4 linked regions of the Pelodiscus sinensis genome follow. The protein of the gene in region 2 binds, or shares a complex with, the protein of the main gene of each other region. Links are inferred from orthologs where the notes say so. Each region holds a gene or a part of one and is shown on either strand. Other genes may lie near its edges.

What was found.
Region 1: the proteins of HRAS (region 2) and PLCE1 are in contact, whole or in part, in a crystal structure (PDB 2C5L), measured with the Homo sapiens proteins. The link is inferred for Pelodiscus sinensis from reciprocal best matches to the Homo sapiens genes HRAS and PLCE1. Residues at the interface, in NP_001123914.1 of Homo sapiens: Ile24, Gln25, His27, Val29, Glu31, Asp33, Ile36, Glu37, Asp38, Ser39, Tyr40, Arg41, Glu63, Tyr64; in NP_057425.3 of Homo sapiens: Phe2138, Pro2146, Glu2147, Gln2148, Pro2149, Arg2150, Thr2151, Val2152, Ile2153, Lys2154, Lys2171, Tyr2174, Ser2175.
Region 3: the proteins of HRAS (region 2) and RASA1 are in contact, whole or in part, in a crystal structure (PDB 8BOS), measured with the Homo sapiens proteins. The link is inferred for Pelodiscus sinensis from reciprocal best matches to the Homo sapiens genes HRAS and RASA1. Residues at the interface, in NP_001123914.1 of Homo sapiens: Gly12, Gly13, Ser17, Ile21, Gln25, Asp30, Glu31, Tyr32, Asp33, Pro34, Thr35, Ile36, Glu37, Asp38, Ser39, Tyr40, Arg41, Gln61, Glu62, Glu63, Tyr64, Ala66, Met67, Lys88, Lys117; in NP_002881.1 of Homo sapiens: Gly746, Arg749, Glu783, Thr785, Thr786, Arg789, Ala790, Thr791, Glu799, Lys803, Ser833, Arg894, Gly898, Phe901, Leu902, Arg903, Cys906, Pro907, Leu910, Asn911, Met914, Arg928, Ile931, Ala934, Lys935, Gln938, Asn939, Asn942, Val944, Ala948.
Region 4: the proteins of HRAS (region 2) and MAPKAP1 are in contact, whole or in part, in a crystal structure (PDB 7VV8), measured with the Homo sapiens proteins. The link is inferred for Pelodiscus sinensis from reciprocal best matches to the Homo sapiens genes HRAS and MAPKAP1. Residues at the interface, in NP_001123914.1 of Homo sapiens: Gln25, Asp33, Ile36, Glu37, Asp38, Ser39, Tyr40, Arg41, Leu56, Glu63, Tyr64, Met67; in NP_001006618.1 of Homo sapiens: Glu277, Ser278, Phe280, Ala286, His287, Gly288, Phe289, Ser290, Leu291, Ile292, Gln293, Arg311, Arg312, Lys313.

What each region holds. Positions count from the first base shown.
Region 1 is NC_134718.1:41,466,634-41,474,557, forward strand, and holds the start of PLCE1 (1-phosphatidylinositol 4,5-bisphosphate phosphodiesterase epsilon-1), read right to left. Parts: upstream 3,002-7,924; 5' UTR 2,987-3,001; coding exon 2,697-2,986; intron 1-2,696. UniProt on the Homo sapiens protein: The production of the second messenger molecules diacylglycerol (DAG) and inositol 1,4,5-trisphosphate (IP3) is mediated by activated phosphatidylinositol-specific phospholipase C enzymes.
Region 2 is NC_134714.1:121,452,205-121,459,397, reverse strand, and holds the start of HRAS (GTPase HRas), read right to left. Parts: upstream 3,014-7,193; 5' UTR 2,942-3,013; intron 2,894-2,941; exon of another isoform or gene 2,531-2,893; intron 1-2,530. UniProt on the Homo sapiens protein: Involved in the activation of Ras protein signal transduction. Ras proteins bind GDP/GTP and possess intrinsic GTPase activity.
Region 3 is NC_134716.1:76,468,547-76,475,832, forward strand, and holds the start of RASA1 (ras GTPase-activating protein 1), read right to left. Parts: upstream 3,007-7,286; 5' UTR 2,906-3,006; coding exon 2,151-2,905; intron 1-2,150. UniProt on the Homo sapiens protein: Inhibitory regulator of the Ras-cyclic AMP pathway. Stimulates the GTPase of normal but not oncogenic Ras p21; this stimulation may be further increased in the presence of NCK1.
Region 4 is NC_134732.1:25,319,217-25,326,397, forward strand, and holds the start of MAPKAP1 (target of rapamycin complex 2 subunit MAPKAP1), read right to left. Parts: upstream 3,006-7,181; 5' UTR 2,850-3,005; intron 2,571-2,849; exon of another isoform or gene 2,471-2,570; intron 2,276-2,470; exon of another isoform or gene 1,570-2,275; intron 1-1,569. UniProt on the Homo sapiens protein: Component of the mechanistic target of rapamycin complex 2 (mTORC2), which transduces signals from growth factors to pathways involved in proliferation, cytoskeletal organization, lipogenesis and anabolic output.

The sequences.
Region 1 (7,924 bases), on a different chromosome or scaffold from region 2:
GGAGGAAATGCTAGTAGGTGACTGAACCATTTTCAAATAAAGTAAATGCCAAGCTAAAAATTGTTTACTCCATAATTCATGTTTAATACATTGTCATTTTCCAGTGAATCCTTGTCAATTATTTTTTTATAAAAACATAAATAGTTGCCTGGAAATTCAAGGTTAAAGTTCCATTTTATAGAGTCCTAAGCACTCTGATATTTGAAAATACACTGTTAAGATCACACAACCAACCTTAATTCTGCTCCAGAAGCATGACTCTGGGAATTAACAGGAACCCAGAAACAGCCTTATCTACTATGTAACACTGATGAGAGAAGTATATGAACCTAAGCAGAATTAGAATGGAATCCCTTTTGTAGGTTCATCACATTAATGACCAAAATAACTGGAAGACTCTACTCTTAATTGTGCAGAGCTTCTGTTGATTCCAGTGTTCTTTACTATTGTACAGTTGTCCCACAAAATGTATTTTACATTCCTTGGCTTTATAAATAGACAACCGAGAACAATCAATTACCACTGAACACAAAGATGCAACGTTCAGTCAATTGTACAAGTATCATTAATACAAGTGTCATTAAACACCAAGGGTATGTCTACACTGCTATCCTAGTTCGAACTAGGGTGGCTAATGTAGGCATTCGAAGTTTCAAATGAAGCCCACGAGGAGTAACGGTAGTTCAAATTAGAGAGCCTAATTCGAACTACCTACTCTGTGCCGCGTGTAGCCGCGGGCACGGAGTCTGCACTAACGGGGATTTAAAAATGGCGGTGCCTGGCAAGATGCAAATGAAGCCCGGGATATTTAAATCCCGGGCTTCATTTGCAACTTCGAATGCCTACATTAGCCACTCTAGTTCAAACTAGGGTGGCAGTGTAGACATACCCAAGCTATTTTATATATAGAAATCTTGTAGGCTAAGAACACAAATTTCATGAGGAGAAACGGTAGTTCGAATTAGGATCTTTAATTCCAACTACCTACTCCATGCCGCGTGTAGCCGTGGGCACGGAGTTCGGACTAAGGGGGATTTTAAAATGGCGGCACCCAGGAACATGCAAACGAAGCCCAGGATATTTAAATCCCGGGCTTCATTTGCAACTCCGCTTGCCCTAATTACCCTACCTAGCTTGAACTAATGAGCTAGTGTAGACATACCCCAATTTAGCTATTAAAATACATTATTTATGTAAATTCCAGTATGAAGTTGTTTTGTTATTTGATTGCCTCTTTGTTTTTACTACTGCATAGTTATACCAAGGAACGTGTCAATATCTGAGCCCTATTCTTAAGGTCACCAAGTTTTATCATAGGATTCCAAGCCTACCGGGGTGCTAGAACAATCTGTATAATCAGGACGCTGAGAGTCATTGATCCTCCCAAACTACTTCAAGCTGGGGATGCGGCAGCACACCCTCCCACCCTTCCCCACACTAGTTCCAGCACTTTTGCAGCCTACATGATGTTAGCACAATTAGTAAGCTTCCTGTCTAAAGTTAAACTGTACTAGAAGACTCTACTACAGCGTGACCCCATTGATATAGCAATGAAAATGAGAATCAGTCGTCACTACCTACTTCACTTTTAATATTTTTATCACAATATTTAAAATGATAGGTAACACGATTCCTTATTAACCAAAGCAAATTGTCTGAGCCAAGTCAAAAGTAGTGTTCATAGTTTAAATTCCTGAAATACAGTACTTTAAGAGGTTAGCCAAGTATATTGAACATAAACACAATTTTCAAGTTTTATTCAATGAGTTTAACTACAACAAAAAGCAATGAAAAGGAAATAATGCTTGCACTTTGATTAACTAACAGGCAGCTAAGTGCCATTATGTTTTTAATGTTACAAGTATATATTGGAAGATATAAACAGAAACCTGTTTTCAGCATACAAAAAGAAATACTTAATAACCCAGCATAGGTCCTGATGCTGTTCTTATTAAAGTCTCATCTACTGACAACACTGAGTGCAGGATCAGTCCCATTATTTGTGCTTTTACTTTTTATATATAATTTGATTGAATACAGACATAAGCACATTCCACGTATTCACTTTATGGATTTTATGCATTTTCCAATGAACACCATGCATCTATTACAAAACTCCTATTGCTTTATTAACTAACATTTACTTCTAAATATCAGTAAAATGTTTGCTGAGGTTTTTTCAATGTTGACATCATGAACGGTGGCTAAGTGCAAGAATTTTCTTTACCAAAACAAAACAAAAAAGTCAAGACAAGGCAAGTTGAGCAATTACACTGTTCATATATTTAGAATGAAACACTCTAGGAACCAGTAACATAAGCAGTCAGAATTTCATCACAGTTTTATCACTTTATTAAATACTGCAAGATTCTTTAAAGTGAATTGACCAGCAACAAGCTAGGAAACCTATAGACAATTGTGTGTGCACAATTTTAATTAGAAAGAGTTAATGCAGACATTATGAGAGTATTATTTTTTTTATCTGCAGGGATTAGTAAACAGTGACTAAAAAATAGAAGCATGTCAAAGTGAAAAATGCATTGATATAAAATGCTGCAACATTGCTTTCTACTGTCTACACAAGAAAGGTCCTCCTGCATTTCATAAAATAAGAAAAACTTTTTGGTATTAGATACTATATAAACGGTACCTTTTTCTGTTGTAGTCCACAGCATCCATATCATACCAACTTGTACTAAAAACAACGCAATAGAATGGAAACTGGAATAAAACAAACATCCAAAACAAGCAAATAGCATTCGGCTATACAAGATGACAGTCTGTTCTCGTCTACAGAGGCTATGCCTAAGAGCCTGCAGAGAAAAGGAGTGCAGTGCCAAATCTTAATCCCTTTGCAGAATTTCACATGGTGCTGCCTCACCTCTTTAGTTTCTGTGAAACCTATTGCTCTTATCACCCAGTTTAATTCATTATTTAAAAAAACACACACAAAGAAAATCTGGAATATATCATACTGCTGAAACATACTGCAACTTGCATGTTTGCTAATGTTTACATTTCTGCAAATTAAATGATGTATTGTTAAATTTATTTGAAAGCACTGTTTCAGACTTATGGTATTACATGCATTCTTGCAAAGTAAAATTTTTTGAAGAGATTTAGCATTTAAACTATTTTTGCTGATTTCAACTAGTAATTCTTTACTAGTCCAGAATATGAAGTCACTGATACACTGCAAACTGATAACTCCAAACAAGAGAGAGAGAGAGATTTCCCCAAAATTAGGAACTGTTAAATAAGCTGTTAAACACTGTTGAACATTTTCAGAAGAATTATCCTGTACACATTATGGGTCAAATTCTACTGTCAGAACTGTATCACAAAGGCATGATTTCAGTTGATTACTGGAAATACAGTCTCCCTGTGCACTTCCATGCTGCAGGCTGCCCTGCTAATAACAACAGATATCCTTTTCTACTGACCCTCCATAATGGTATTTCAGATCTACAAAGGGGAACACTGTTTAGGGAGAAAGCGGATACTTCACAAACAATTACTCAAAATCTATACTTTTAATGGGGGAACAAGAAATCCTATGTACAACTCTAGAGGCATATAGGGTTCACAGAGTAGCCTCATATGGTCAAGGTAGAATTCCTCCAGTGCAGGAGTTGTCATAAAAGCACCATGCAGCAACCTCCTGCAGCTCCTAACATAGGAGGAAGATAAATAGGAGTACAGGGCATCCCCACTATAAGTCACCCCCGGTATACATCAGTTCCATACTAAAGTCATTGACATTTGTAGGAACTGATGCACTATTAGTCCTCTCATTCCCCGCTATAAGTCATGTGAAACACTCCCCCCAATTTGCTTAAATGGAAGTCAGCAGTGGGAAAAAAATTCCCCACTTTAAATTGTTTCACTATAAGTCCACGTTTTTTGGAACGTATCTTGGACTTACAGTGAGGACAGTCTGTATATAATGCTAATCTCTACAAGGGGTAGGGCTGAGGCAAAGCCTTTAGGCATGCCTGGCAAGGCTGACATCAGTGAAAGTAAACCTGCGGACTGCTCCAGGTTACATGGGGGAACATACCATTCCTTAAAACAGCCCAGAATAGGAAGGCTGAAAAGGTAATTTACACCTCTCCCCTCCCCCCCCTTTTTTTCCCTGTGCTGTCTCTCCCAAGAAGTGCATACGGACATACCAAAATCTCTTTGAGACTCTTTACCATCTGGAAAAGATCACATTACAACAAACCTTCAAAGGAATAACCTGGGCTCTGCAGTTACTTCAGTTGTGCATTTACTAACAAAATGTAGGGAGAGTTATGCAAAAGTTAACTGCCTACATCAGAAGTGACTAAGCCCAGTTACAGTACAAGCAGCACCAGCAGACAGGCTTTCTGAACCATTCACATATCCATGCAACTGCTTTTACATGGGTTGTATGTAAAAGCACACTGTGGGTGTAAAAAAAGGAAAAGTGGCCCTGTTTTGTTTTAAAGAGAGCTTGGTCTGAAGGAAACAAAGTTGTTAATATGCTGAAGCAGGAAAAAAAGAGGAGGTTATTCACCTCCTGTAATTGACATTCTTCGAGATGAGCTTCCCTGGGGGTGCTCCACAGAAGGTGTTGAGCATCTTAGCACCTCTGGATGGAGTTTTGCCTAGTAGTGCATCAGGGGGTCGCGCATGCGCACACGTGGCCCCCTTCCCTCCTCAGTCCCTTCTCTATCCAGAACCCGGAGAAGGAGTGTTATTTACGTGTTTGCAGTTTTTCTTTTTTTCTTTTTTTTGAGTTTCCAAAGTAGAGGGGAGGAAGGGAGGGTAGTGGAGCACCCCTGGGGCATTCATCTTGAAGAATGTCAGTTACAGAAGGTGAGTAACCTCCTCTTCTTTTTCAAGGGTGCTCCACAGAAGGCGACTACAAGCAATCCATGTTAAGGAGGTAGGGACTTCAGATCTGGTAAGCATGCTGTCTGCAGGACACCTTTTGCTAGTCTAGTATGTAGTAGAGGACCTGAAGCAAACGAATAACGCTTTGCAAAGATGTGATCCGAGGACCATGTTGCCACTGCGCAAATGTCCTCCAGTGGAACTTTCCTCAGGTATGCTACCGAGGTTGCAACTGCTTTTATAGCGTGCGCCCAGATTGAAGCAGGTGGAGGTAAGTTATTAAGCAAATATTATGTGGTGATGCATTCCGATATCCATTGGGATAGTCTCTGTGATCTTTTCTTCCCCATGGTACGGTTCACAATGGAAACAAACAGCTGTGGGGAAGATCTGAACGGCTTTGTCCTGTCTATGTAGAAGGAGAGAGCTCTTTTGACATCCAGAGTGTACATCTGTGCTTCAAAGGCATTGGCATGAGGCTTTGGGAAAAACACAGGTAAGTGTATTGTCTGGTTGATGTGAAAAGCTGTACAGATCTTAGGTAAGAATTTGGGGTGCAGATGCATAGACACTCTTTCTTTGAGAAAGATGGTAAAGGATGGATCGGACATGAGCACGGCCAGTTCACTTACTCTCAGTGCTGAGGTAACTGCCACTAGGAAAGCCGTTTTCAGCATTAAGTGGCACAAGGCACATGTGGCCATAGGTTCAAAGAGCGGTTTTGTTAGTGCTCTTAATACTAGATGACGGTCCCATGGTTCTTGTGGGGGTAACACATCAGGGCATAAGGCTTGTAGACCCTTCAGAAAGCGTTTGGTTGTGGGGTGCGCAAATAAAGTGGCGTCATCCACTGGTGCATGGAATGTAGTTATTGCTGCTAAGTGCACTCTAATTGAGGCTAACGAGAGGTGAGACTGTTTTAGGTGCAATAAGTATTCCAGAATTACAGGGAGTGGGGAGATTTGCAGCAATATGTTGCGCTTGCTGGCCCAATGTGTAAAACAGGTCCATTTACTGATGTATGTTTTCCTTGTTGCAGGAGCTCTGCTGTGCAGGAGGACCTCACGGACTTGCTGAGAACAGTGGAGCTCTATGCTAGTGAACTATTGAGATGCCACACTTTCAACTGAAGCATGAGGAGTTGAGGGTGAAGTGTCCTGATTTGTGGGTGATGGAAAATGTGTGGGACTTGCAGTAGCGTGATTGGATGGCTTTGTGTCATCCTGAGTAATAGGGGAAACCAAGGTTGGCATTGCCAACATGGGGCTATAAGGATGATCTTTGCTTTGTCCCTCCATATCTTTATAATGACTCTGTTTAGGAGGAGAAATGGGGAAAATGCATATAGCAGGTGTGCACTCCATGTTAGAATCAAAGCGTCCCCTAAGGACTGTTTCCCTATGCCTGCTCAGGAGCAATACATCATGCATTTTCTGTTGGTTCTGGTGGCAAACAGATCTATGTAGGGGAAACCCCATTGATTGAATATTTTCTTCAGGATTGTCTGGTCCAGCTCCCATTCATGTTCCTGGGGAAGGGCTTTGCTTAGGGCACCTGCTGTCGTATTGAGTGTGCCAGGCAGATGGAAAGCAGATACACAGATATCTCGCGCTAATGCCCAGTTCCAAAGGGCTATGGCTTCTTTGCACAGAGGCTGTACTCATGCTTCGCCTTGGCAGTTTATATTGACCATGCATGCCATATTGTCCGTGTAAATGCAGACGTGTATCCCTTTGACTTGAGGGAGCAATTTTTGGCATGCCAGGCAGATAGCTCCGAGTTCTAAAATATTGACATGTAGAGCACGCTCTGCAGCAGACTATAGGCCCTGAGCTATTCTTCCTTCCATGTGAGCGCCTCAGCCCGTGAGTGATGCATCTGTGTTGATGACTATTGTCAGTTCTGTGGATTGGAAGGGTATGCCTATGCTTAGGTTGGACGTTCTTGTCCACCACTTTAGAGATGCCTTGACTGAGCATGGAAGTGTTAGTCTTTTGGTCATTGAATGAATGTGTGATTTGTATTGGGTTCGGAGCCAATCCTGAAGACACCTCATAAAGAGTCGTGCGTTGGGCACCACTCGGTTGCAGGAAGTCTGAAATGACCACTTACATATACAAGTCACCTCCCCATATAGCAGGACAGGAAAAAAGAGGTTACCTTGTGCAGTAACTGGTGTTCTTCAAGATGGGCGTCCCTGTGGATGCTCCACTACAGGTGTTTTGGCGCCCCTGCACTTAAAGTCAGATATATTTAGCAGTGGTATCCCGAGTGCTGACACGCATGTGTGGTGCCATCTTGCTGCGTAGTGATGGGCCAGCGCACACACATCATCAACTGTCCCTCAGTTCCTTCTCTACCACAGAGAGATGTTAAAACTCCGAACCTAGTAAGAACTCTACCTGGTTCTTCATGCACCAATGCCACAGTGCTATGACTTCTTTGGATAGGTGGTATGATCTCGCACCTTCTTGACAGTTTATATAAAACATGCATGCACTGCTATCTGTGAGGATTCTTACTACTTTGTTGCAAATCAACAGGAGGAATGTTCACATGCTTGTCTGACCACTCAAAGCTCTAGTACATTGATGTATTGTGCTCTGTCTGTTAGGGACCATCATCCCTGGATACTGTGGTTTTCCACATGGAAACAGTAATTTATAGGAGGAAGATTTTTCATGGTACAATGACAGATAAATGTTTACCTCCTGTGGACTTCCAGTTAAGTTTCCAGATGCATGCCCCATCTTTCTAGAGAGGTGTCCATAGTAATTGTGACTGAAGGATGCCTCTGTTGGAATGGTACTCCCATACATAGGTTCTGAGGCTGTAAAAACCAATATAGTGACTGCTTTACCCTTTTGGGGACACTTAAGAGATGTCTGTAAATGGTGCTTGTGAGGTTTAAAGCATATGCACATCAATGTTTGAAGGCAGCACATGTGCAGCCTGCCTAGTCTAAAACATAAGTCATTGGGTGACATGTAGTCTAGAAGTTGAAGGCATTGCCTAGCTGATACAGTAGAATTGTTCATAATAGTTCGAGCCAAAGATGCAAGTG
Region 2 (7,193 bases):
GGCCCACAGGGGTATTTTGTTCTGCTTCTCACTTGTGTGCGACCTTCCTACTGATTTCTCTCTGGGTCAGTGGCCCCTGACTCAAAAAAGGCTCCCCACCCCTGGTCTAGATGATCTAGTGTTCCCTTCTGGCCTTAAACTCTATGACCTCATCTGCTGCAACCACTGCATTTAAACAAGTGCAATGCATCTATGCTGGGATGGGATTGTTGAAGCAGTACAACATCCCTGGCTAAAATCCCAGTGTAGACAAGCTCTTACAGATATAAAAGATCTGCATCGCATCTCCAACCCCTGGAGCCAGCCAGCCCTCCTCTTTGCATAATTTTCTTGCACATTTAGGCTATGATTTTCAAAGGAGGCTAAAGCTCTCTTAACAACTACTTAGTTACACCATGGCAGACCCTTTGTGGACACACTTCTACCAATTTAGAATAGGTTACATCAATTTAGCTCACCTGTAAAATTTACCAACACAAGCAAAATTCATTTATAATAAGCTCAGCCCAATACAAGGAATGTCCTATCCTTCCAACTCAAGTGTTCGCACCTTTTTCAGTCAGTTTAAAAGCACCCCTGCGGTTAAACTGGAACAACTGAGTGCAGGCCAGGTCCAAGAGAGTTTCGCACCTAATTCAAAGGCTTCTTTGAAAATCTCAGCATCATTACCCCCTAGTGTGCGCCCCACAGTGATGTACTGTATAAATGCTGTGCAAGGCATTTCAAGAGCTAACCATCAGCCATTCGGAGTTTGCTAATCCCCACTCAGACTTCCATATGGCTTTCCCTCCCAACTGCAGAGACAGGAAGCCTCACCCTGAGGCTATAGAAGGTTCTGAAGAGTTTCCCCTGACATTATTCCCAAGTGACATATCATGGGGAGTTATGTCCATCCCTCCTCTTCCTGTGGGTGGCCATGGCATAACACTTGAGGCTAGAAAGCAAGACACACCCTAGAAGGATCCTTGAAAGATTTCTTTCTCCTGTCCCACCCCCCAAAAAAACCCAGCATTCTGTTTTAACCCCTGCCTTTTAAAGGACTGCAGGACCTCCTCTGGAATGAAAGACAGACAGAGGAGTTATTATTACTGCAGCAATTCAATGGCACAGGACTTGAAAGAACAGTGACCACCCAGGCTCTGCTATTAGAAGTCTTGCTGTGCTATCAGCATAGACCACTCCCTAAGCTGCTGCCGACAGTGATATCACTGCAGGCATCAGTAGAGAGATACCCAGGGATCTGGGAGGGATGAAAAACGAGCGAGGCAGGGGAAAAAATAGGGAAAGGAAACGTGACAGCAGGCTGTTGCCTTCTCCTGGAGGATGCAGGGCCCCTCCCATGTATTTCCCCATGTTTTCTGGATTGGCAGGAAGTGTTTACAGAAAGCACAGTCATTGTAAGACTGGGAGGGCAGGACAGCAGGTGATTCTCCCCCTCCCTTCCTTTCCCGTTTGGAAACCCTGCCAGATTTTGGCAACCAGAAAGGAAGCTAAGAAGAAAGCACACAAGTCATCAGCAACCCTAAGATCTCAGGGCGACTGGCTCCCTGGTGCAAAAGGTGCAGAGGGATGTGGAATGCCACAGCTACTAGAGGGCCATTGGGCTGGGACATACAGGAGGAGACATTTCTACCATTACCAGATGACACACATTAGTTAACATGACTGCCACGATACTAGTGCACAAGCTTTTAAATCTGGAGGTATGAGAACCGCCCCTGTGGCCTCCCAAGCAAGCTGCTGGGGCCTGATTTGCAGGAAACAAAAGGGTCTGAAAATCAAGGGGAAGCTTCGGGCGGATGTAGGGAGTACACATTTGTAAATACTCAGAGAAATATAGGAAGAAAAATGCAGTCCCCCCCCCACACACACACAAACTCTAACAGGTGGCTCTCCGTCTCCCCTCACTACCTTCTTCCAGCGGGGTGCAGCGTCCGACACATCCAAGGCCAAAGCTGCTCTTTCACCCCAGCTCAGATCCCTTCCCAGACACACCCACTGTTGTCTTGCTTTTCCCTTCACAGACGTGACCCCTCCCCTGGCGGCTGCCCCCTCTCACAAGCACAGCCGTGAACACACGTCTCACCCCATGCAAGTGCTCGCTCGCCACCCACCTGGCAGGCACCCCACCCTCCCAACACACACACTTTTAAAACAGGCAGCCGCTTTCCCATTGCGGAGAGGGGCGGTTTGCCCTTCCCAGCTCACTTTGGAGCCTCCTAGTACAGCTGGTGCAGGATCAAGCGAGCGACCCGCCGAGCCGCCGCCGCCGCCTGCTCAGGCAAAGCCAGCTCTGCAATGCTGGACTGCAGCCGCCAGCCCTTACGGCGCACACATGCTCCCGGGCACACGCTGCCCAGGCCACTGCAATGCCGCCCTCAGCACTCCCGGGGGGTGGCGGGGGAGGGAAGGGGGCCGAGAGACACTTCCTCCTCCCCCCGCGCCCAGCGCCACCGCCCCTGCCCGCACTTCGGCAGCCCACCCGCCAACCCCGCTGCCCCGCCAAGCGGAGGAGACGGGGGGCACTTACCAGCGCGCCCGCCCAGGCTGCTTTCCTTGCGAGACAGAGAGCCGGGGGAGGGGGCAAATCCTCAGTGCGGGGGGGCGGCTTCTGCGGGAGCGGCGCACACAAAGTTTGGAGGGAAAAGGCAAAAACAAAACAAAAATCCCCCCTCCCGGCCAGATCCTGCTTCCCTCCCGGCGGCGGGTCAGCGGCGCGCCGGGCCCAGCAGCAGGCGAACTTTCCACCGGGGTGGTGGAGAAGCCCCCGGCTGGCAGCGCCCTCCCCGCATTGGCACCGAGCACTGGGGCGCTCGCGGGCTGCAGCGGCGGCGGCGGCTCGGACAATGTGTGTGTGTGTGTGCACCAGGGGCGAGCCCCGGCAGCGGCAGCGGCGAGCGGCACACGCCCAGGCTCCGCTCCCCGCCCAGCCGTCACTCACCGCCTCCCGCCGCCGCTGATAGGCCGCTCCGGGCCCCGGGGAGCGGAGCCACCCTCCTGGTGGGCTGCGGGCCGCGTCAGTCACCGAGGCGAACGGCGCCTCCTTTCTCCTCCGCCCCCTGCTGCCGCCTCGGCCGGGGCACGGGGCGGGTTATGGGGAAGCTGCGGCAGCGGGCGGGGAATTGCTCCTCGGCTTTTATTTTTAGCGCCTCGTTGCCAGCCCGTGGAGTCCAGCGACGCGGGGAGGTACCGATGCTTTATAACCTGGTGCAACAGGGACTTGTTCCGCCAAGGGTGAGTTGTAATCACCCCCGACGCATCAGAGGCCGAGGAGCACACAAATGGTCCAGCTGGACACACCTAGGCAAACGTTGTTTAAGAATGAGTTTTGATCTCCCACCTCTTCTCGCCCACTCCTTAAAGGAAACAGATATGGGGGGCCATATCCTCACCCCTCAAGCAACCTCATTGACTTCAGTGGAGCTGTGCTGATTTACCCCAGGGCTGGCTTTAGCGTGGTTGGGACCAAGGCATCCTTCCTTCTGTCCTTCCCTTTTCTTCAACTTGAATGGAGTGCTGGGGAAAGGTGCTGGCTTGTTGGAAGACCCTGGAGAATGGAGTTTTGTTTAGCCACAGAACATGAAGGGCCTGGGCATTTAGAAATAGGTAGGGTCCTACCAAATTCAAAATCACAACCATGAAAAATATGTCGCAGACTATAAAGTCTGGTTCCCCCCCCATGAAATCTGGTCTCTTCTGTGCTTTTATCTTATACTATGCAAATCTCACGGTGCAGATTAGATAGGGGTCCTGATACAAAGGAAGCTGCTGAGAGGTCACAACGTTATTTTCGAGGCATTGTGGTTTTGCCACTCTTAACTTCCATGCTGCCTGCAGAGCTGAGTGGCCAGAGTGTTGGGTGGCTGCTGGCTGGGTGACCAGCTTTGGAAGCAGCGCCTTGCCAGCAGCTGCACTGAAGTAAGGTTCGCAATACCATACCATGTCACTCATACATCTGCATTGCGGCCTTCAGAGCTGGGTGGCCAGAGAGTGGTGGCTACTGACCCATGGCTCAATTCTGCAGGCAGTAGTGCAGAAGCAAGAGTGGCAATGTCATGCCATCTTTCTGCATTGCTGCTGGTGCAGCTCTTCCTTCAGACCTGGGCTCCTGGCCAGCAGCTGCCACTCTGCAGCTACCCAGCTCTGTGCAGAAGTAAAAGTAGCAGTTCTGTGACCCTACCCCCAGTGCCTTAATGAGTTAGAACCCCAACAATTATAGCACCATGAAATTTCATATTGTAAATTTCGTTATATCAGATATTTAGATTGCTTAAACCTTATGACCATGAAGTTGACCAAAATGGACCACAACTAGGGTAGGGCCCTAACAAGAGAGTTGTTCTGTTCCCAAATCAGGACACTCCTGGGCATCTCCCATCATAATAAAAGGTATACACGTAAAACACTGCAGCGGTGCTTCAGTGAAGCTGTTCCATACTGTTGCAGATTTACGGGCGCGAGCTCCTACTCTCTGGCAGGAGGGCGGGGCCCTGCGAGCCCACCACCTCAGTTTACCCACGTAAGACGGGCTTAAGGGCATGAGCCGGCAGGAGCGTGGGGCCCAGCAAGCCCACCGTCTTAAAGGTCAGGGGGAGGGGAAATCCCTGAGGTCTCTCAGCCCCTAAGTCCTGCCCCCTCTTGGGGCTCAGTAATGACAGTCTGTCCACTAGGCCAATTGGCTGGCAGTACTCAATGCGCAATTAGAATGCAGTGTGGGGGGAGGAGGGGATTTAGGGGGACCCAGGCCCTCCCTCTCCACAGGGTCCCAGCCCGGGGCCCTAAGGGTTCAGCGTGTTTGACCCCTACCCAGCTGACAGGGTTCCACCCTGAAGCGCGCCGCCCACGGGCGCCTAAAGCACTCTGCCCCAGGCTGCTTCCTATCCCCCTCCTGAGTACCGACCCCCCCTGGGTTCATCCAAGGGGCTTACCTGTCCAGCGGCTTCTCTGGCACTTTGGTCTCTGCACCGAGCTTCCGGGGGATGCAGGCCGCTCCTCCACTGGGGTGGCAGACTTTGCTCCCAGCGCGGCGACAGGTGCCTCCAACTTTGTGCACCGCCCCGCTGCCCTCTTCTCCAGGACTTTTCAAGTGGCCCGCCGCTGGCCGCCAACAGATGCTGCTCTGCCCCTTCAACGTCCCGCTGCTCTGGGGCACCGCGGGTTTGTATTGGGGCCCCGCCCCCGCACACCATGGCCCTCTGCCATCCGCGCAGCTCCGGCAGCTGCTGGCTGCTGCTTCCTGGCATCGTGTCGCCCCACCCTCTTGCTGATAGAGTGGGCAGAGTCTTGTTGGTCCTAGTGTGGGCCTCGGCGGGCCCATCACACGCACCAAAAGGAGAGCCATAATGCTGTCTACACCAGGGACTGGGACCATATAACTCTCGCTCAGGGGTATGGATTTTTCATGACCTGCTTATACAGCTGTGACTGCATAGTGTAGACCTGGTCACAATTAGACTGCCAACCAGGGGGCCTTCATGGCAGTTTCTATGACTGAACACTGATCCACTAGGGAAGTTTAAAAGTGGGTAATTGGGTAACTGTGTAACTGATGAAAATCTCAGAGGTTAGAGTTATACACATCTGCAGCGTGGGGTGGCAGCTGAATCCCTGGGATGAAAGCTTATGAACCAAGTAGAAGGGGATGGCTTTGCATCAAGTGTAAGCTGCTGGGAAGCAGATGGATTCTCTAGGAACAAAGCACTGGAGTGAGTTGCTCTGTGAAAGGGGCTGCGAGGCAGATGAAGGTAGAAGAAAGTGGCCCTGGGAAGCAGCAGTTGCTAAGCTGTTTCAAACTGTGCCTGGGCTAGAACCCAGAGGATAGCAGGGGGTTCTCCCTTACCAGCTACATTGATTGTTTTAGGTAGCAGAACATTATTGCTCATTTCCATGATTCCATCCTGTGACTACCGCATGTTCATTTGGTCCCTTCTCGTAGTGTGCATAGGCATCTTCTGTGCAACTGAAATCGAGGCATCTGCAAGGGTCGGGGACGGAAGAAAAGGTCCGTGCAGTTTCTTGCCTCACATGGTTTCAGGATTTGGTTCTCCAGAGGGTGAGGAGAAAACTGGTCTCTCTGGTGAAAATGCCAGACTCCCCAATACCATTTTGCTGCTTCTCTTCCCAGATAACGTAGGCTCCTGGAATCCAGCTCGCCTGCAGATGCATCAGAGTTAATAATCATGGGTACCTTTAGCACATTTAGAAGACTGCGGCCACACCATTGGCAAGGCTCTCCCCAAAGCTTAAGGGTCACTTGCAGAGTGGCAAAAAGTGAACTAATAAGAAATAAAGTTTGAGAATGTGTTTTGTTTTCTTTAGAGAACACAGAATGCTTCCTGTTTCCCTCTGACATACATAATTTGCCATGACAACCAGCTTATGAAACAGAAAAGTATTGAGCATAAGGTGCTTGGTTGCTATGGTGAGGAGAGAAGCTGAGACCTTTTCCTCTTTGTTCATTGGTGGCCGTGCATCATCTAAGCAGGAGGGTCCAAGTCAATAAAAGTCCTTGTTAGGCTTGTAAGGCAGCAGGTTTGCATTGCATTATCTGGCAACATGGATCAAAACTGAAACACAGTCATTAGGAGGAATTAAGGAAATACGTGCCAGAACAGGGCTGGTTTCTTAGAAATACAGAGCCAAATTCAGTTCTAGTGTAAGCCAGTGTAACGCCTGCTGATGTCATTGGAAGTTGCATTTGCTTACACCAGGACTGAATTTGATTGCCATCTTTATCAACTTTCATATTTAGAAACTTCTTTTCCAAAGTGTGTCCAATGGGGAAAGCTCCTCTCCATAGATCTGAGAGGTGGGGCTGGCCATAGAGTTCTTGTTGCCTCAAGGTAGACTAGGCAGGCTTTAGTTATTCTATCATCTCACCCTGTCAGCAAGTATTGGGACTTTCTTTGAAAATACGGATTGCTCATGACTCATTGTGGAAAGTGCAGCTCATTAAGTCCACTCTGGGAAGTGAGAGTGGGCACAGAAAACTGGTTCGGGATAGAAAGAGGGGAAGGGGAACCCCAGAAACATCCTCAGATGTATTGGGTGGAGTGTAAGGCTGAATTTTGTTATGTTATTTAAACAATTAGCAAAATCGGTCTAGGAAAAGGGGAAATTTTGGACACTAAGTTAAGTACAGGTAGTCCCACTGCTCACATGCTTGAAGTTATTTGCAGTGTTGTAACCATGTT
Region 3 (7,286 bases), on a different chromosome or scaffold from region 2:
AATCGTTTTGTGACCAGGACTGTCTCACTATGTGCTTTTACAGTTCCTAGAACAATGAGATCCTGATGTTTAGGAACTGTTACAATAAAGTCATTAAATAGATACATACATATTTACATCCATCCATCACTGAAAAGACTGATAAAATTAAATTGTGTGAAAAATATGGTTTATATTAAACTCTACACCCTCCTTCTTATATAATAGTTATGCCTGTGTACTTATGCAAAAATCATCCTGAATCCTGGAAAAAGAAAGACACTAGAACTCATGAGGTTTAACTAGTAATAGCTCAGATATTAAAAGATGTCAAAAAAAAAACTGTCAAGACAACATTAGAACATTCTTGGATAAACATTACTAGCAACAATCTGTAATGTAAATTCATAGCTATTTTTACGCCTTATAGCCCTAATTTATCTGAAATATAAAACTTCATTTTAACTTAGTTAATGCTTGATTTCTAAATACCAACTTAAAACACAATTTTGTTTCTGGGACAATAATCAGACACACTTGAGTGCAATTTTCTTTCCTACCATAAACCTTGAAACTGTATTATGTAAACCCTTACACACCTTACTAGTGTTATTAGTGCATCTCAACTTCTCGTATCTATATTTATCAGTAATTGTACACACAAATGCTGCACAGCATCAGCTCTATAATATATATAAAATACAACAATTGTCCTGCATAACAGCTTTAAGTTTTCCTGTAATACTATCAACAAGGGAATGCTTATTAAGTTAATGGAAAGACAATCATAAAGAAACCTTACTGTAAAACACCTACCAATGCTTTGACTCAATTCCCATTAATTTTCACACAATCCAACTGAACACAAACACCTTTAAAATCAGCTGTACACCATGCTATTAAATTCATTGTTTATGGAAATTAAATAGCATTAAAATTATTGGGTAAGACATTTTATCAATTTTTTTAAAGTACAATCTATAAAATGTTATTCCACGCAGTACGCATATGAAAGCTTTAAGTTTCAGAAAGTCTAAAGACGGCTTAATTTTCCTACCAAGAATCATAAAAATCATATCTATATTTGACAATAGCTACTTACTATTATGTTTTGGAAGAGTATGAAAATGGATAACGATGTCAAAAATTGATAAAGTTTCCAAAGGGAAAATTTAATAATCTGAGCTTTCCACTCCTTTTGTGACACTATTTACCATGTGAAAATCCACAGTAGTAAGTACTGAAAACCCAAAAAACTAAATTAGATAGGTAGTGTTTAAGTCTGACTGTTTTCTCTAAATCCCTGAAGGATTTCTTTGTTCATTTTAAACATGGGACTATAAAAATAAAAGATTTTATGTTTTTATGGTTCTGTGGTACTTGGAGGAAATGGAAACTGCAAGGCACACAAGGGACCCTCGAAGAGTACACATACATACACCGATCAGTAATATATGACTCAGCAGTAGGTGACAGACAAGACACACACTAGCATCCAGTATTCCCTGTAAACCGAGCTCTTGGGGGGCAACACAGGAAAGATTCATGTGCCACCCAACTGATTAGCAGAGTACTCACAGCTGGCAGCATGTTTTTCTACTGGTGATGCACAACTGCACATAAAGTTTATTCTGCACACAGATGGAACACATTAGAGGGAATACTGCAGGCATTTAATGCTGCTTGGAGCCCAGTAGCGTTTCAAATTTTCCAGTGCCCTGGTTGTCTCTAAGCCTCGGATTGTCAAATACTGGGACTGGACAGAGGGGATGGATTGCTACAACTGTCCTATTCTCTTCATTCCCTCTTGAAGCATCTGACACTGGACCCGATATGGCCATTCTTATGTGCGTTAGTCCATGCAAGTCAAGCGCACGCTGTTGCAATTGGTGGCTCTGCTGTCCAGTCTGAGGATCCACCCCAGACGGAAACACAGACCAAGGAGCCCTCAGTGCCAATACTTCAGCACTTTCCATGCAAGCAACTGAGTCTATTTAAATGGGATCTCGGGGGCGGGGGCAAACCTTTCAGGGCCTGGCCGGAGTTTGACACACACTTTCCACCGGGCAAAGGGGAGGGACGGGAGCTAGAGTCGCCACCGAGCCGGCTGCCGCCCCCCACGGAGGGGCAGCAAAGCAGGGCGGCCGGGAGCAGAGGGGGCTGCTACTCACTGGTTAGTCGGGGGCGCGTTGAGCGGGATGGCCACCTCCTCCTCTTCGTACTCCGGCCCGTCCAGCGAGTCGCCTTCATCCACGGTGCCCAGCCCCCCGACCAGCGGCAGCGGCGGGGGCGGCAGCGGCGGGAAGCCCCCAGCGGGCGGCCCGCCTGTTGAGCCGGGTTCCTGCGGGGCAAGCGCCCCCCGAGGCATCTCCTGCCCCTGCCCGGCGGCCACTGCGGCGCCTCCGCCCGCCGGAGGGGCAGGCCCCAGGACCAGGAGTCCCAGCGCCGGGCACAAAGGGGGGCCGCTGCCGCCCGGGCTGCCCCCGCCGGAGCCCTGCGGCCCCTTGCCCCGGCACAGGGCAGGGCAGTGCCCCGGCTCCCCGGCGGCGCTCGCCGAGCCGCCCTCCTCGCCTCCGGCCTCGGCCGCCATCATGGTGAGCCTCGCCCCCTCCGCACGCCGGGGAGGAGGCGACCGAGGGGCCGAGACCCCCCGCCCCGCCCCAGCGGGGAGCGGAGCCGGGACCGGGACGAGCGAACTTCCCCGGCGGCGGCCGCGAACAATACCCGGCTGGGCGGGGGCTGGATTCAGGGCAGCGCGGCAGGGCCCCGGAGCGGCTGCCTCATCGCCCTGCGGCCGGGAGGGGAGCGGCTCCCGCGGAGACTCACCCCGCCCGCCCGCAGCGAGCGCAGCTTCGGCACGGGCAGGGGCCAGGCTGGGCTGGGGGAGGCAGGGGAACTGGCGAGCGGCTCCCGCCACAGTGCGCATGCGCCCGGGGACCGCCCGCCGCGAGGAGGGGGTTGGCTGAGCCCGCGCGCGCTCCCGCGGTTCCTGCCGCCGGCTCTGACTCAGGGAGCGGCCGGGCTCAGAGCTGGGTTCACCTGGAGCTTTGCAAGGGCCGCGCGTGGGTGGGAAAGGAAGAGCTGAAGCTACCAAGAATATGAGCACAGGGGCGGGTTGCAGTGTCAAAGAAGAGAGCAAGCCCAGCGCACCGCCCACACCCTGACTGTTCCCAACCCACCAATTTACAGTGCCTAAATAAAGAACGTTTGGCGCCAGGCCGATTGCATCTCACACCGGTACTGCGATCTTTCCCCCCAACCCCCTCGCCATAGCACTTCAGAACAACTGGCTGGGGTCCTGTTGGATTCACTTGCCAGATGTATGTTTTTGCAGCGCCTTTGCACTAGCATACCCTGCGATCCCGATTAGTCTCTTGAACTAAGAAAAGCTGCAGATGCATCAAGCAAAACTGGGGGCATTCAAACCATAAACAGATGTAGCCCAAATCCTGAAATCCAGGGAGAGGTTTTTTTGTACTGCTTTTTTTGTTCTAGGACGTGGGGTACAGATTTTGTTAGATTGTGTTGTTTGATCTATTTTATTTGTGAACTAGTAGAATCAACACACTTGTCTTGTTTTGATGGTATTCTGAGTTTGTGGGTTAAATTTAACTGAACCTGATAGGAATCAGGAATCTTTTTTTCTAATGCTTTTAAAGCAGGGGAGGAGCACTGCACTTTCCATTTCTATGCTGTTATGTCCACACTTGTGCCTCTGACCCACACTCAGTACTTACCAGAAGTACTTACAAGTGACCTGGCTTGGTGATGCAGAACCTATTATCCAGAGAAAATAACTTACATTTCTTACAGATACTGACTCATATGGCTTATAGACTTTAAGGTCAGAAGGGACCATTATGATAATCTAGTCTGACCCCCTGCACAGTGCAGGCCACAGAATCTCACCCACCCCTCTTAGAATAATCCTCTCACCTATGTCTCAAATATTGAAGCCTTCAAATACTTTGAAGGCCCCAATATGCAGAGAATCCTCCAGCTGTGATCTGTGCCCCATGCTACAGAGGAAGGCGAAAAACCTCCAGGGTCTCTGCCAATCTACCCTGGAGGAAAATTCCTTCCCGACCCCAAATATGGCGATCAGCTAAACCCTGAGCATGTGGGCAAGACTCACCAGCCAGACACCCAGAAAGTTCTCTATAGTAACTTATCATAGTGTCATATTACAATCCTTCCCCTTGGGGGCCTGAGCTCAGGACAGGGGATGGTGGTGGTACCACACCACCTGTAGGAAATGTAAGTGTGGGATGGAGTGCAGGAGGCTCAGGTCAGAGGGTTGACATGTGGGAGGTGCAGGAGTCATAGTTGGGGTGAATGAGGGGCTCAGGGCACAAGATTAGGGAATGGAAGTGCAGAAATCAGGGCAGAAAGCTGGCAGGGAGGGAGGTTCGGTGCAGGGGCTGGGATGTGTGTGTGTGTAGGCTCAGTGATGAGGCAGTCCCCACTGGTGACTGTGCACTATGCTGCTCCTGTTCCCAGCCAAATTGGAGCAGTGTTGGGCATCGGAAGGAGATAAGGCTGAGTAGAGTGCTGAAGCTCCCCTGGGATCCTGGCCCAGCACCTGGAGTCCAGGCCACTTGGTGTGTCTCCCCCTACCACTGGTCCTGTCACCCTCACCAGGGGATTTCCAGGCCGCTGGCCCTGCACCCCTCTCACTAGGGGCACTCTAGCCACCGGCCCTGCTGCCAAGCAGCTCTCTGATCTCTGCTGTCCCCCTCCTGGGGGCTCTTCTGGCTTCTAGCCCCAGGGTCCCTGCTGCCAGCTTCAACTTTGGGTGTGGGGGGGAGGGGAGAAAAGGATTAAGGCCCAACCCTCCGCTCAACACTTTCTTACTGGCACGCTGCACTAGAGCACATCTGCTTACTTTCACCTCTGCCTACTATATGTGTACATAGGTTTGGTGGATGGGGATCCAAAGTCATATACCTAAGCTAATGCAGTGCTTGTTGTGCACCAATATGAGAAGAGGGAGTGAGGTTCGAACTCACAAGCCAGCCTCACTTAACATTGGAAATGATCTTTTTTTTTTAATGAAATGTAATTTGTTTTGTAAACCTATCCATATGTGAAAGTATATCTCTTGCTGCTAAAGATTTACCTCTTGTTATTGAAAGCCCTCCAGCGGTAGGTAAGTGATAGCGGAAGCAGGTATAGGATACAACTGGAACCATCTAGCCACAAACATGCACATAGATGGCCTCGATGTGATGATCATCTGTCTGCTGAAAAGGAACAGCAGCAGCTCCCATACCCTGCCTAGGTGACAAAGCAACCCTATTTAGGGACAGAGCTGCTTTCTTCAAAAGAAGAGGGGGAGAGAAAACAATTCCTAACCACAGCTTGTTCCAGTGGATTCCTGTCGGTTAGCCAGGACCGAATGATATCCAATTTTGCAATCACAGGAGAAAATCAATGACTAAACAGACACTACACTTTGCCTCATGGAATATATGCATACTTCTTGACAGTGATGATCACCATGAACACAGGACAGCAATCATTGGTAGAGAGCTTGTACATTATAACATCGATGTCACAGCCTTAAGCAAAATACATCTTGTATCAGCCAGTTCACAGAGGTTGAAAAGATTCCTCAGTGAGCTAATGATTCACAGCTGGTTATACCTCCAACTCTTGATGAGGTACAGAAAGCTGTCAAGCAGATGAAATCTGGAAAAGCACCCGGCAGTGATGTGCTCCCATCAGAGATTTATAAAGCTGGTAGAGGCCTGCTGATGCCATCTCACCCATTTATTTATCACTATTTGGCAGAAAGAGCAAGGCCCCCAGGACTTCAAAGATGCCTTGATTGTACAAATATACAAGAGAAAAGGTGACCGTGCCTGCTGTGATATCCTCCAGGGCATCTCACTGCTGTCTATAGATGTTATGATCCTGGCCCGCATCCTCTACAACCATCTGTCATTACATGTGTTCACAAATGGCATTATTCCTGAAAGTCAGTGTGGATATTGTGCCAGTCAAGGCACTGCCAACATGATATTCACAGTCAAGCAGATCTAAGAAGACAGCAACATCATAATCTCTTAGTGATTTTCATTTACCTGACCAAGGCGTTTGACATGGCCAACACAAATGGATTTTGAAAGGTACTTGGGCAAATTGGCTGTCCTGAAAAATTTGTCAGTATAATTTGGTCCTTTTATGATGTTATGCTGGGTCATATCCTTAATAATGGATAGACATCAGCACCTTTTGAAATATAACATGGCACAAAGCAAGGATCTTGCTCCTCTCCTTCCCAGCTCCTCTCCTTCCCAGCATCCTTGCTCCTCTCCTTCCCAGCATCTACTTTTTGATTATGCTATTAGTTGCTTTCAAGGATTGCACGTTGGGCATACCTATGCAGTTCCTAACTGACAGAAGCATGTTCAGCTTTGAAAGACTTCAGGCACCAAAGATACCAAAGTGTTCAATTCAACTATCTGTGACCTTCTTTCTGATGACTGTGGATTGTTGGCTCATCCAGTGGAGAACTCACAGGAGATTTTGATCCTTTTGTTACTTCTGCTCACCATTTTGGACTCACTGTGAGACTCCAAAAGATTGAGATTATGTCTCAGTGTCTCTTCAGAAAGAGCCCAGCCCTCCTACGATCACTGCTGCTGATACTGTCCTTAGGTTGTTGACAAGTTTTGTTAGCCTGGAAGCATACCATTCTCCAGCATTAATGCTGCTGCTGATGTATCTGTTCAACTAGCCAAAACCAGCGCTGCCTTCAGAAGATTGACCAACTGATTATGGAATGGCCATGGTGTTAAAATTCATACAAAGGTAACAGTTTATCAGGCAGTTGTCCTGAACTTCCTGATGTATGGCTCAGAGTCATAGATCATACATAGCTATCACATTTTGAAACTTGATCAATTTCTTATGCGCAGTTTCAGGAAGATTGTCCATGTGAATTGGTGGGACGAAATTCCTAACACAGAGGTCCTTAAGCTGTGTGGTGCCATGGGCTGCATTGCTGAGGTTATGAGGATGGATGATACATACATACCAAAAATAATCTTCTACGGCCAGCTTGTTCACGGAAAGTGCTCTATTGGTGGTCAATATAAGCATTATAAAGGCCAACATGAAGTCATGTGGCATATCTCCCAATGACCTAGAAATCATAGCTCAGGAAGATTGTTCTGGTAGCAAACTATTGTACAGGGTCTCAAACACTTCGAGAATCAATGTATCCAGACATTACAAGAAAAGTGTAGGATCCAAAAAGAGTGTATAATGCCCTCAGATGGTGGATTTTTATGTGACATCTG
Region 4 (7,181 bases), on a different chromosome or scaffold from region 2:
CTAAAATAATGGGGACAGTTTTAATTACAACCAATGTAGTTATTTTAGTTCCAGCCTGTGTATTGACTAGAGATGTTAAACATTCATCGATTACAGGTTTATAAAAATAAATGTGTAATTGCTGAATTTTTTAGCTGTTACTAGTATACATGTGGGGGCAGGCAGGCGTCGCTTTTTAAACCGGCTCCCACATGCTCCCCCTTGCTCCTCACCCCACCCCCACTGCCTCTGTTAGAGGGGCAGCAGCATGGGTGACCGGTGGCTCCCTGGGAGACAGTACACACAGGCAGCTGACTTGAAAGAAGGCTTCCCGCATATACCAGTTCCCATGTGCCACCTCCCACTCCCAGCACTGCTGCCTCTCTATCATCGTTCCCAAGAGGATGGAGAAAGGCTGTTTCACAGTAGGGACGGAGCAATAGTCTCAAGTTACAGTGGGGGAGGTCTAGGTTGGATATTAGGAAGAAATTATTTCACTAGGAGGGCAGTGAAGTACTGGGATGGGTTACCTAGGGAGGTGGTGGAATCTCCATCCCTAGAGGTTTTTAAGTCTCGGCTTGACAAAACCCTGGCAGGGTTGATTTAGTTGGGATTGGTCCTGCCTTGGGCAGGGAGTTGGACTTGATGACCTCCTGAGATCTCTTCCAGCTCTATGATTCTATGAGAGGCAGGCAGGTCTGAGGGAGCTGGTGCTTATGCGGAGCCAGCTTTTAAGCCAGGTCCCACGAAGCACTGCCTCCCACCTTCCTCTCTGCGCTGCTGCCTCTCTGGGCAGCGGGGGGAGGCGGTTCTGCAGGAGCCAGCTCCTTACGGGAAGTGGCTCTCGCCCTCCACCCTGCCCCCACTGTCTCTGATACAGAGGCACCACTGGGGGACTGCAGGTAACTGTTAGGATTAACCAATGAGCCCAGCCTTATTGGTTAATCATGTAAACGAGTACACACTAACATCCTTAGTATTGACAGGACCTAAATAAAAGGTGAGCTAAACTGAAAATAGTCTACTTGACAACTGTCTGTAAACTAAACCACATGATGAACCATTTGGGGCATCCAGGCCTATAATATTCCTGGCCAAGATGACAACCAATTAGTGCTTATTTTAATAAGATTAATTTCAAACCTTATCTTCGTCTTAATAGAAAATATACCACACCCTCTCCCATACTGAAATTCCCACAGTACGTGAGCACTGCAGTTTTCTGGCAACCCCTTCTCATGGGTGTCAGAAAACAAGGCAAGGGACCAGCAAATACACAGAGTATCATCACTTTTAATGGTTACACTGCAAGCACCCTGAACTGCCAGGGTAACATCTTAGAGGGGGTTGGGTGATCCAAATCAAAGTAGCTCACACAACAGGATATGTTAATACGAGAGTGCAATAGCAGAACCCAATGGAATACATTACAGTATTATCCCAGGATATCAGGTCCATTGTACTTCCTTATGGGAATCAGAAACTCAGTATCTAAACCAGGGATGGGCAAATACCAGCCCACCGGCTGGATCCAGTCTGTCAGAGTCAGCACCTGGCGGGCTCCCACACCGCTGTAACCGCCATATTTACCTGCACAGATATGGAGGAGCACCGCATCTGTTGGCCGCCGATCACCGTTCCCAACTAATGGGAATCATGACCCCCCCCCCATACCTGTGAAAGTGAGGTAAATACAGTGTCAGCGGCTCAAAGGGGGCTAATGCTGCGGAAATGCTGCTATTTTATTGTCCACACCTGATCTAAACCAAAGCCTGCCAACAGTTTCTCAAGTTCTATAATGCACCCGAGTCCTTTTTTTCAATCATGTCCCACCAAATCTTCACAAATTTTCCCCTTTCAAATCACTTCTTAGAAGCCCACTGGATCTACACTGTTTATCCCAACTATAGCTTACTGTCCATTTACTCTACTTATTTGTGCCATTACCATGAAATCTTGCAAAAGGATTGGCGAGCATTAAGTAGGCTTTATAAACTATAACGCGACACATCCATAAAGCTCTCTAAATAGACCACACTAATTGCATATGTACAGGATTCTGATATGTGGACATAAGTCTCTCAAAAACCCTAAAGGCAGAATAACGGTTTCTTGCATTTAGTAAGACTTTTAGGCAGAGCACATGTACGATTCTACAGAAGAATCTCTAAGTCACAGGAGCTGACGCCCCATTGTCACCCACACAATGTTATGAGTTAGCAACAGAACTGTGCCCTAACAGGCATGCTAAGGGTTCTAGTAGTTACCGCCTTTCGGCAACAACACGTGGTTCGAACAAAAGACAGGACTATGCAGCACTTTAAAGACTAACAAGATGGTTTATTAGGTGATGAGCTTTCGTGGGCCAGACCCACTATTTGCTCTGAGGAAGTGGGTCTGGCCCACGAAAGCTCCTCACCTAATAAACCATCTTGTGAGTCTTTGAAGTGCTGCCCAGTCCTGCCTTGTGTCTCAGCTGCACCAGACTAACCCGGCTGCATCTCGATCGCTATTCGGCACGAGGCTCGCTGCGCTACGTCTCGCAGCTCTGTCGGTCGGCAGCGAGCGGCTGTTTGTGGCTCGGTCTCAGCCTCACGCCCGGGCCGGGCGGCCACGTGCCATCCCCGCTCACGGGCCGCCGGCGCGAGGAGGCGGAAGCGGCGGTTGGTGCCAACTCCCTGTGGGCGGGCGGGCGGGGGGGGGGGGGGGGGGGGGGGGCTCAGCGCTGCTCGCCGGGAACAGGCCCCCGGGGCTTCCCTCCGCGCCTCGGCCTGGCGGGGGGGCGGGCTCCTGGTCCGGCCAGGGGCGACCCCGCTCTGCCCAGCGTGAGGGGCCGGGCGCGCGGCGCGGCGGGGCCCGTCCCCACTTACAGGCCTGGCGGGCGCTGCCCTCCTGCGGGGCCGGGGCCGTTTCCTGCCCCACCGGCGGGGCCGCTTCCGGGGCCGCAGAAGGCTCTGCCGACGCCAGCTAGCGGTATGGCCCCCGCTAACCCGGAAACACAACCTCCGAGCGGAAGTGACGGAGACAGCAAAGCCGGGGCCAAACGCCGTTGGCCTCGGGGGGGGGGGGTAGACGTTGCACTCTGCGCATGCGCGCGGAACGTGGCCGCGCCGCGCCCCCGCCCTGGCCAAGGCGCCTCGTTCGGGTGCCTCAGACCGCGGAGCGATGCGCGGGGGCCACTCGGCCAACGAGTAACTAGCCGCCGCGCAGGCCCCGCCCCCTCCGCGCGTAACGGAAAACAGCGGGGCGGCCTGCGGCTCTCGAGGCCAACGGCTGCGGCGTCAGGTCCCGCGCGAGCACAGGGCCCCGCCCCCCCCGCCGGCCCGGCGCTCCGGACTGGTGGGGGCCAGGGCCCAGCCCGCACTGAGCAGCCCCGGCTCACGCCCCCCCCTCTGAGGAGACGGGGCGGGGGGGGGGACTGGCTTTTAAGCTGCCCCAGCCCCTGCTGCCCCGCCCCCTTTGCTGCCTCTGTTGCGGAGGCAGCAAGGTGGGAAGCGAGCAGTCGAATAGTGACCCAGCTGTCCAGTAAGCCAGGCTCACCGGGGAGTTGGCTACTAGCCAGGGTGCACAAGAGCGGCCGTACTGGGTCAGACCACAGGGCCATCTAGCCTCACCCCTTGTCACTTACATCCCTGCGCAGGACTACTGGTTTCTCTGTAATTGCTTAGTGAAATTCCGTTGTAGAACAATGGCTACTTTTTAAATCGATGAATGAGTGACCTGGCAAGTTAAAATGTTCCCCTACAGGTTAAGTGTGTTGCCATTTCTGAGGTATGATTTGTGTCCATTTATCCTTTGTCATAGAGACTGACCAGTTTGGCCAATATAAGAGGTATGACATAAGAAAGACCCAACAAATGCAGCCAAGAAAATAGTGTAATTAAGATAAATTTGCATCCCAGATTTCTCATACTGGGTTATTTCAATATGGCTATGTCTATACTGCGCCTGTTTTGTGCAAGAAATATGCAAATGAGGCTGTCTAGAATATTGCTGAGCCTCATTTGCATAATTTACAAGGCTCCATTTTTGCACAAGAGGTTTTTGCGCAAGAGCCATTCTTCCTCATTTTTTCAGGAAGAACGGCTCTTCTGCAAAAGCCCCTTGTGCAAAAATGGAGCCTTGTTAATTATGCAAATGAGGCTCAGCAATATTTTATACAGCCTCATTTGCATATTTCTTGCACAAAACAGGCACAGTATAGACATAGCCTACCTGTTTCTCGGGGACACAAGTTGCTAACCTACAGTAGACCAGGGATTTACTTGGTTCAGTACTTTGCCTCCAAACAATGACCAGGATCAGATGTTTCAAGGGGAAAGGTATTCTTAATAATGGAGATTGCCTATCTCCTAGAACTGGAAGGGACCTTGAAAGGTCATTGAGTCCAGTCCCCTGCCTTCACAGCAGGACCAAGTACCACCCCTGACAAATTTTTGCCCAAATCCCTAAATGGCCTCTACAAGGATTGAACTCACAACCCTGGGTTTAGCAGGCCAATGTAGAATTCATGCTGGGGTTTTCTATAGTGCTCGTCACTGTAATTGGTCACTATTTCCCATGTAAATTATGCATGCACTTAGTTAACTTTCTGTTGATACACTTTGGTTGTTCCTTTCTGCCACACATTAATCTTGGTCATTGTAGCAAAACTTATAAAAGAGGATGGTTTTGCAATGTGTCCCAAACATGGTCAGACTCTCTAAAGGAGAGCAGGCCAATCTGAACTCATTTTATACCCTTTAGTCTCTGGCTTTCATGTGCTTCATTTTGTGCTTTGTGGGATCTGTTGTTTCAGAGAAGTGCAGACAGCTACCCCTTGTATAGCCTAAAAAGGGCAGAACAAGTGAAAACACAACTTGCACAGACAATATTTTTGGGGGGGCTGGTATTGGTTCATCAACTGAAATAAGCTGTACCAGCAAACAGATTACTATAGAACTTGAGTTCTTGAACACCTTGGGAATGGAAGTTATTCCTAACTCTGAAAAAAACATTTATGGTTCTTTCAAAGTTTTACAATTGAAATTGACTTATTACAGCTTTTATTTTTTACTATGCAGTGGCCCGCTGACCAATTCCTCCCTTCACTTTCCTGTGAACAGCTGATTTGCAGTTTAAGATGAGCTGGGAGGGCAAGGGAGGAGCAAGAAACCAGGTGCACTCAGGGGGGAAGGTGGAGTGGAGCCCGGAAGAGGTGGGGCAGGGATATGGGCAAAGGAGTGGGACTGGGAGCAGGGCCTGAAGCACAGGGGAGATCTAGCACCGCCTGGCTAGAAGGGATGTCAGCACCTTTGGGTGGTTTCACACTCCTAATCAATATAGTTCTACCTACAACATTTTTAAGTGTAGCCCAGGCATGATGGTATAATGAATGAATGATATATTTGATGATCAAGCTGGTCCTGAATATTTGATAGCTTTATTAGGACAATTATCTTCAATTGGCAATAAAACTGTACAAGGAGTTAGTATGGGGATCAATGCACAGGACACAATGAGTTCAAGGAGACCCACCCCAAAGAGGTGCTGGATTTTTATGTGCTATATGAGTTAGAACCTCTGTACATCTTCAATGCACATAATTGTACAGTGAATTACAGCCTTTTCTCCATGACTTGGTGCAGACGAGTTTTAAATGTCCCGAGTGGCAGCTTTCATCACTTTCTTTGAGAAACTATTCCACAAGTGATAACTACTTAAGTCGTGCCTGCCAGCCTTTAACTGGAAGAAATGGACATTGCTGGGAATAATTTGCTTTTCGGTGCGATCCATTTTGACAGACCTAAGTGCACACAAGCCATACAATACAGCCTATTGTGTCTCATTGATTCTATGTACAGAATGCAATCTCCTCCAAAAGGTGGACATTGGCACTGCAGTTTATGGGTCAGTTTGCACTGAGTGCCAATGCTCACATTAGTTGCTATTATCATTATTAGCTGCTAATAATAATAATATTAAGCATGTTCAAAAATCAGATTCCTGGTATATTTTGTGAAATGCAATGTCCATGAATGTGTAATTTACAGTGTCTCAAAGGTATACTGTACTGCAGTACAGAGAATCACTATCATAAATAAAGGGAGACATGGATAAATTTATAATTAAAAATGCACTAGCTATTACAAGGATAATTTATTTACTAATGTGCACTGGAATATATTTTGTGTAATATTTTAAAAGTGACAATAAATAATAGTAAAATGTTATGGCATCTAAAATTATTTTAATAAATATTAGAATTAATTATGCTACACTAACTGCTGCAAAATTCAAATAAAATTATTTAAATAGGAAAACCAAGTTGAAAAATATCACAAACGGTATCTAATAGTTTCAAACACAGGAAAAATATAATACAAATAATAAAGGCTATTCATCTGATAGATCTTCTTTCAGATTAATTTGTAGGTTTCTGAAAAGAGACTTGGGTTCTATTCCCATCTTTACTAACCTGTGTGGCCTGATGTAAATACCTGTTGATTTTTAATAACCCTGCCATACATACAGTTTCTCTATAGTTTACGGGGCAAGCAGATTACATTATGAATCCACTTTTATTCCTCTTCTAACTTTGACTAATTTTCATCTAAATTTTCACAATACAACCAGCAATTTGCAGGCCAAAAGCCAGTTTATCTAGCCCAACAGTTTGAGTTATAGGTCACCTCAAATATAATGAGCTATTGTTCCTTCAAACTTTCTACCTATGTAACTGTAACTGAAAAACACTAATTGTAATTACTATAGTTTGTACACGAATAGTTGGCACATATTGTTTATTTGTACTACCATAGCAGCCATGTTCACTAGTCATTGATCACAACCTTGTTATGATTGGTGCTGAACAAACACAATAAAAGGCAATCCTAGCCCCCAAGAGCTTACAATCAAAACAGAAAACGAGACAACAGAGGGATAAAAACATATGGGGAATAAAAGCATATTATTAATTATGACCGACTGGTTTCAGACTGCCGATGGTGTAACTGCTGTCCATTTTTGCAGGCGTCATGGTGAAGGTGAGTTTCTGGAGATCAATGCGGTAGCTTTGTGGATGTTTGCAGGGAGATTCTTGTAAGTGTGAGGGGCAGCACTGTCAAAGGCACAAAGGTGCTTGTTTGAAAATGTAACAAGTGGACAATGGAGGCTGGTGTCAGTGGGCAAGGTGGGAGTTGGCATTTTGACAATGAATGAGA